2 linked regions of the Macaca fascicularis genome follow. The main gene of each other region encodes a partner of the protein of the gene in region 2 in a complex. Links are inferred from orthologs where the notes say so. Each region holds a gene or a part of one and is shown on either strand. Other genes may lie near its edges.

Region 1 (3,818 bases), on a different chromosome or scaffold from region 2:
ACCTGGTCAACAAGTGGCCAAAGTGTACCATTCTTTCTTTCTCCCGACTGGATTTGACCCTCCCCCACCCCACCGACTTAACAGGGCTCCCTTGGAGCCTGGGGCAGGCTGGTGGCCCCGTGTGCATATGTGTTCATGCGTGTGTTTATGTGTTTGTGGTTAAAGATCCAGGTGAGTGATGCCTTGGTTCTGGTCCAGTGTGGCTACTTCCTGCTCGTGTGACCTTGGACAAGTGACTTTACTTTTCTGAGCCCTTGTTTCCATCTCTGCAAAAAGGGACTATTCAAAGGACCTAGAGAGGCTGTGTGCTTGTTGAAGGCCTGTCACTTGGGTTCTTGGGGGATTTGCCGCAGGAGATGGAAGTAGGAGCCCAGGGACCCTGCCCTTAGGTATAGTCACTTGGGCAGCCACGGGGAGCCTTCCTCCTGCTCTGCCAAACCAAAGCCACAGGCACGGGCTATATGCGGGGGCTTGAATTCCAGCACCAGCAGCCCAGCAGCTCCTGATTCCCGAGTCATGAAGTCATCTCTGACCAGGACTTAACCTCTCTGGCTTTCCACCCCCACGGGTGCCAAGTGTTCAGCAGAGATTCTCCCCACTCCCTGGGGAGAGAGTGATTCCTGGCCACTGCCTTTCTTGCAGCCTGACCCCGCTCCCTTCCGAGAATCCAGCATCCTCCCACTGTGGGGGTGGAAGAGGGGCATGAGGGTCAGGCTCCACCTGCCTCTCCCCGGAAGCCCAGGGGGAGAGTACAGGAGTGGCTCCGAGGCAGCTTTCCTGGGCCTCTCCTGCAATGACAGTAGCCTTATCTCAGGGACAGATGCTCCTTCTCACACCCCCTCCTTTGTCAATGGCAGTCTCAGCTGAGTGAAGGACAGGCTGGGATGTCCGAAACAGAGACCTGACCTCTTTCTATCCTGAGTTATGTAGCGAACACTCTGTGTGACCTTGGGCAAGTCCTTGCCCTGTTCCAGGCTCAGATTCAAGTTGTGTGGAACAGGAGGACAGGAGCTCCTTGGGTCCTGGAATTCTGTGATTCTAAGCAGACTCCCAGCTCCCGCAGTTACGGGGTCTGGAGATGGCAATGTCTTGCAGCGGGAGGGGCATGGTGTATTGAACTTAATGAAAAACCCCAGGTCTCCTGGCAAATACTAGGCACTTTAATGTTTGAATTAATTAATAGAATAATGAACTTTGCTCAGAGCAGCTGTTCTCTGGGCAAACAGAAGCCTGAGCCCAGAAGCTGGAGGAAGGGTGATGGGCATCCAAATGCTTCCTGTGCTCTTGAGGGTGCTTTGTTCCCACTCCGTGGAGCTGCAGGATGGGAGCAGGGTACCTGATGTACTGTAGGGCTGCCCGGGACCTTTGACACTTTCCTTTGGCAAGCTGTTTGGTGGGAGCGGACCTGAGACTCTGTCATGATCAGCTGTGTCTCCATGGGGTAGTGGCTGAGTGACGTTTATGGGTACTGGAGTGGATGGTCTGTGAAGGTGAGGATTGTGCCTCTTGGTGTCTGCATGGTGCTGCCAGCAGAGCCGATCTGTGGGAGATGTTTGGAAGGCAAGACTGAATCCAGGAGTGCACTCCTGAGTCATCAGGTCTGGGCAGCGCCCTGACCTGAGGCTGTCTTAGGGTGTGCGTGAGGCAGCCCTGTCTGTCCCGGCCCAGACTGACTCAGCTGGGAAAAGTGTCCTGGACTGGGCAAGACCAGAACCAGCAGCCCACTCCCTGTCCTGTGTGAATCAGCTGCCCCTGCATCACAGAGCCCTGGAGTGTAGCATCCCAGGGCCCTGTGCATGGAGACTCCTGGCTCTGAAGTCAGGCAGCCCTGTGTGTGCAATCCTTGCTCTTCCATCCGCCAGCTGTGTCACCAAAAGAAAATGACTCTCTCGGCTGTAAAAATAAGTGAATAACATGCCTCCAGAGTTATTAAAACAGGGCCCGGCACACAGCAAGTGCTTGGTAAATGATACCTAGCCATATTAATACTTTGATTATTACCTCATTTACTATTTTTATTTTTTTTTGAGACGGGGGTCTCACTCTATAGCTCAGGCTAGAGTGCAGCGGCACGATCCTGGCTCACTGCAACCTCCACCTCCCGGGTTCAAGCAATTCTCCTGTCTCGGCCTCCCAAGTAGCTGGGACTACAGGTGCAAGCCACCACGCCCAGCTAATTTTTGTATTTGTGGTAGAGATGGGGTTTCACCGTGTTGGCCAGGCTGGTCTTGAACTCCTGACCTCAGGTGATCCACCTGCCTCAGCCTCCCAAAGTGTTGGGATTACAGGTGTGAGCCACAGTACCCAGCCTCATGTACTATTTTTATTTGCCCAGAATGGGAAAGAGACTTGCTTAAGGACACACGGCAAGTTAGAGGTAGAGTGGGATCCAAGACGCAGGTCTCCAGGCCCTGGCCTGGTCTCTTTTTAGTTTTTGAATGCCCACTTCACTAGCTTTCAGGCATCGGCTGTCATGGAGCACTGGGGATGTTGGCTGATGTGTCTCCTTTCTTTATCTTAGATCCGAGAGACTGAGGTCATCGACCCCCAGGACCTCCTAGAAGGCCGATACTTCTCCGGAGCCCTACCAGATGATGAGGATGTAGTGGGACCCGGGCAGGAATCTGATGACTTTGAGCTGTCTGGCTCTGGAGATCTGGGTACGGAAGGTGTGGTGGGCAGGCGTAGGCACAAAGCTGGAGGGAGTGGTGGCCTAAGCAACCAGGAGGGTGCCCATGCCTTGAGACTTGGATTTTTGTGGGACTTTTCCTAGAATGCCCTTCCTCCTTCTCAAAAAAAGGGGAGACAAAAGTAATGGATTAACCTTTTCCATCCCTGAGAGCCCCTGGGGACAAGCTGTGTGCTGCTTTGAAGTCATTGGTAGCTCCGGGTTTTCTGAGCTCCAGCCTGAACCTGTCCTCATGGGCTCTTCTCTTTGCTGCAGGGCATGGTGGGGGTGGGGTGAGGGTAGGCTGGGTGGCAGGACAGGGTTGGGGTGGCGAAAGAGGACCCATAGAATGTTTTCCTTTCTCTGAAAGGAAAAGTTCCAGCCTGTGCCACATGGTGAGAACTTGTCTCTACAAAAACACAAAAATTGGCCAGACGTGGTGGCATGCACCTGTAGGAGTCCCAGTTACTTGGGAGGCTGAGGCGGGAGGATCCCCTTGAGCCTAGGAGGTTGGGACTGCAGTGAACCAAGATCATGCTACTGTACTCCAGCCTGGGTGACAGAGTGAGACCTTTGTCTCAAAAAAAAAAAAAAAAAAAAAAAGAAAGAAAGAAAAGAAAAGTAGCAGTTTAGAAGTGGGGATGGGGTGGGAGGGGGCATGAGTGGGCAGAGATGTAGTTGGGAAACCAAGAACAAGTCCCTGCTTCAGTGGGGGTGGGGTGGGTGAAGGGCCCAAGGCCTCCAGGCCAGACAACTGATAAATGTCCCTCCTATGTGCAGAGAGGTGTTAATGATCGCAAGTTTTAGCTCTGGAGTCACATGGTCCTGAGTTCAAGCCTCCACCCTGTGTGAACTGAGCCTCAGTTTTCTAATCTGTAAAATGGGAATAATAAAGATAGTAAGTACATCAGTGTTGTGGGGACTGAACTGACAAAGCTTTTGGCACCCACCAAGCACTCAGTACATGTGTGTTTGGTTTTTTAAAAATATAAATTTTATGATCAGGTGTGGTGGCTCATGCCTGTAATCCCAGCACTTTGGGCGGCCAAGGCAGGCAGATCCACGAGGTCAGGTGTTTGAGACCCACCTGGCCAACATGGTGAAACCCCGTTTCTACTAAAAATACAAAAATTATCCAGGTGTGGTGTCG
Region 2 (3,818 bases):
GTGTCATCCCAGTCCTAGGAGAAGCAACTAGCTATCTGCAATTATGTTTTTTTCAATTTTTCAACCTCTTAAAATACCTACTATTATTTGTTTTCCCAACTGCATCACCACTAACACAAGTTTTCTATAAATATTTGGTAAATACATACATGCTAGGTACTGTATATGCATTGGGATATGGCAACAAGACAGACACAGATTTAACTACAATTATAATAAGTGGTACAAAGTGCTATGGTCATAGCAATAACCTTAATAAAAGGTTATCAGATCCATTATAATTAAGCTAGAATATGGAGTCTAATTACATGGAGCTTTGGATTTCAAAAAGAATGTTAAAAGACTAAAGAGCAAAGGCTTGGCGCAGTGGCTCATGCCTGTAATCCCAGCACTCTGGGAGGTCGAGGCAGGTGGATCACCTGAAGTCAGGTGTTTGAGACCAGTGTGGTCAACATGGTGAAACCCGGTCTCTACTGAAAATACAAATAATTAGCCGGGCATGGTGGCACGCACTTGTAGTCCCAGCTACTTGGGAGGCTAAGGCAGGAGAATCACTTGAACCCAAGAGGCAGAGGTTGCAGTGAGCTGAGATCACACCATTGCACTCCAGCCTGGGTGACAGAGTGAGACTCCGTCTCAACAACAACAACAACAACAAAAAAAAAGATTATGAGCAACAAAGATACGATAGACCTATATGTGTATTTCAGAATGATTAACTTAGCAACAGCTTAGTACCATCGAAATAAGTTACTAGAGGAAATTTAAGAGAGTACTATAATAATGAAGGCTAGAAGTATAGAAACCCTGAATATGGTTATAGTAGGACTAGAATGGATAAAAAACAGACAAAATGAATACAAGAAACAGAAACAGAATCAACAGGACTTAGTAAATGACTAAATGCAGAAGACAAAGGAGAATGAACTAGTAAAAGGTATCTGAATCTAAATCCTAATAAACTCAAAACGTGTAGCACAAAGTGAAGTAGACTATGTAAGAAACGATATCCAAAAAGAAGTCTAAAATTTCTGCGAAGTGAGGTTCAATGCTGTTGTATATTTTTGAGTTAGCCACAAACAGGAAAGCTTATATTAATATGTAAAGTATGGTTTTATATAATTCAAAATTAATTACACTGTACATACCCCCTGAAGTGGTGCACCAGAAACCACGGCCACATTTGCACGTATTTCTTCTTCATTTAAACTCAGCCCCATGTATTGAGACAGCTCCGGATATAGTTTGGGATAGAGATCTAATAAGTAAATGAATGAATGAATAAATTAAAAAGTACTTACAGAATACACAAAATGAAAACTTCTTTTATTATGGGCTTCTGTGTATTAACGAAATTATACTTAAGTTATAAAATCTAGAATGAATTTAAAGTAGCAATTTGGAAAGGCATCTCCCCATCTCTGTAACCATTAGAAATGGAAAATACAGAAAATGTTTAAAATTCATAAAATATGAAGACATCTGAACTGAAACAACCAGATTCCTAAACACTCAAAAGTAGAAATAACTTTTCCAAATAAACTATCTTGCCTTTCCTGTTTCTTAAAATAAACCTACTTGATTAGGAATTTAGTAAAAATACCACTTACCAATTCAGAACAACTGACCAAAATATCTATTTGTCAAGTCAGCTACTTTATAACTCATTCTGTAAACAGGGCTATGGAATGATTCTTCTGAACAATCTTTTTTTGAAAGCTTGTAAATTTATTTAGTGTCTTATCAATTTTAGTAATTTTAACTACATTCCAATGAAATCCTGCAAATGGTATTTTTAAATATTAACATTATTTCACCTGGTAGTAGTTATATACTATTTCCAAAAGCTCTTTTCTACATGAGACTTAAATTATCTGTGACTTAAAATGAATTTTCTATGAGGCAAGGTTATAAACTGTTGTAAGACAAAATGACAGGCCACAAAATTTATTTAACACTTATTTTGTATCTTAAGTCATAGTATTTAGAAGCTCTGTCCTGAATCCCTCTGAACCTTGAAGAAAAAGGGACTAAAGACAGGATACAGAGAATGAATAAAGGCCTCAATATTTAAGAGGCTTCCCAAAGAGGAGGTGGTTGGAAATTTCAGAAGCTCCCATAGGAAAGACAGAAGACAATTCAGAAAGTTCAACAGCAGCAGCATGATGATAGTTCTTAAATGTGAATTCAAAAAGTTCTTACATGTGAATTCATATATATAATTCATTCATAAATGAATCAGCCACATGTTAGGGATTTACAAGTCAGTCTAAAATCAATTTTCATTAAGCCATGAAATACATCCCCATATCCACAGTTCACTATCTTAATTAGAAAAAGGGTTATTTTTTGAAGTAAACTTTTTTTTCTTATTCATAACTATTTGAGCTTAACTACCAATTTTATGCAGCCTGTCAAGAAAAAAAAATCTTGGATTCCTTATTTGAGCAAAAGAAGATAACAATATTTCTGTTCACAGAGAATGAACTCAAAGTATAAACCTACTTCGATCTTGAGAGATAGGAGCAGAAGCTTCTGACAAAATTGCTGGATTGGCAGGGTTTGCAGAAAAAGCAGTTTGAGCCTGAAAAAGAAAAGAAGAAAATTGTAACAATACACTATACTTACTTTATATACTTATATAATTTATAAGCTAAATCCAGTACTTCCAAAAAGAAACTAAAACAATGAAGATTTATGTAAGAAAGTTTAATTTCAAACATGTCAGCAATACATTTTTTCAAAGGAAATCTGCAAATCAAAATTATATTTGATATTCTAAATACTTTTAAGGCTATCACAAAAAAATTGTAGAAGTACTATTCTACATGTCTTATAACCAGTATTTCATAGTGCTGCCACAATAAATATTTTCAAAGTGCATTCTAAAATGGATAAATTTTACATTTTCATTATTCTTTTACTAATTAGTCCAAGTAAAAACATTTTATTTGCATAAGAAAAAAGCATACCCATATTCATATAAAAAGTCACATATCAGAAAAACACCTAAAAAATAAATACTAAGTTGCTAATATTTACCATTTTAGCATGTCCCACTGAAATCATCTTCATCGCAGCAAGTATAGCAAGGGATTTATGCTAAACACTTTTAGAATATCAGAAATTATGAAAATAGCACAGTTTATCACTGACATAAATGGATGATGACAAGGTAATATAATTTGTAACTGTTAAACTTGCCAAAATCATTCTGACACACTCTGACACTCTAGCATTTATCAGTGCTATTCATGACCAAGTATCCACTTCTCAGGGCTGCCTCGATGGCCTATATCATATGAAGTATTTTCACTGATGGAAATACTTTATCCTTTACCATTAGATCTACTTTCTGAAATAGCTATATGTCATTAGAGACAAGTTTGGTAATAAGTTGTATGACCAATCTCTACCAACTTTTTACTTTATTGGAAACGTGTAATTTTAAAAATGAAGTTCATAGTAGTATCTCAACCTAGCCCTAAAATCAATGTCAAGAGTAGTCCCAAAGATGCTTTGGAGATATGAAAGCTTAGGTTAAATAAGTAAAGCCTACAAAAGCTTTGAATGGTACTAAAGTCATATGTTCTGATATACTTGTTGAGTTATCCTTTAATATTTATTATTTCATAATTTGTTAAACATTCTAGATTTAAACAAAATACAGCATGAACATCTTTATAACTGTAAATAACAATCCACAAATTGAACATGTGTTGAACTTTGAAAGTTCTTTCACCACGATTAGCTAAAAGGAGCTAGTGGCTTGTTATATTACTTCTTGAATCACGTCTAACAAAAAAAGTACCGTGCAG

The links.
Region 1: the proteins of SDCBP (region 2) and SDC4 are in contact, whole or in part, in a crystal structure (PDB 8BLV), measured with the Homo sapiens proteins. The link is inferred for Macaca fascicularis from reciprocal best matches to the Homo sapiens genes SDCBP and SDC4. Residues at the interface, in NP_001007068.1 of Homo sapiens: Gly207, His208, Val209, Gly210, Phe211, Ile212, Phe213, Lys214, Thr219, Val222, Asp251, Ser252, Ala255, Leu258; in NP_002990.2 of Homo sapiens: Thr193, Asn194, Glu195, Phe196, Tyr197, Ala198.

Annotation. Positions count from the first base shown.
Region 1 is NC_088384.1:101,416,159-101,419,976, reverse strand, and holds part of SDC4 (syndecan-4), read left to right. Parts: intron 1-2,521; coding exon 2,522-2,660; intron 2,661-3,818. UniProt on the Homo sapiens protein: Cell surface proteoglycan which regulates exosome biogenesis in concert with SDCBP and PDCD6IP.
Region 2 is NC_088382.1:68,549,578-68,553,395, reverse strand, and holds part of SDCBP (syntenin-1), read right to left. Parts: intron 2,585-3,818; coding exon 2,506-2,584; intron 1,259-2,505; coding exon 1,149-1,258; intron 1-1,148. UniProt on the Homo sapiens protein: Multifunctional adapter protein involved in diverse array of functions including trafficking of transmembrane proteins, neuro and immunomodulation, exosome biogenesis, and tumorigenesis.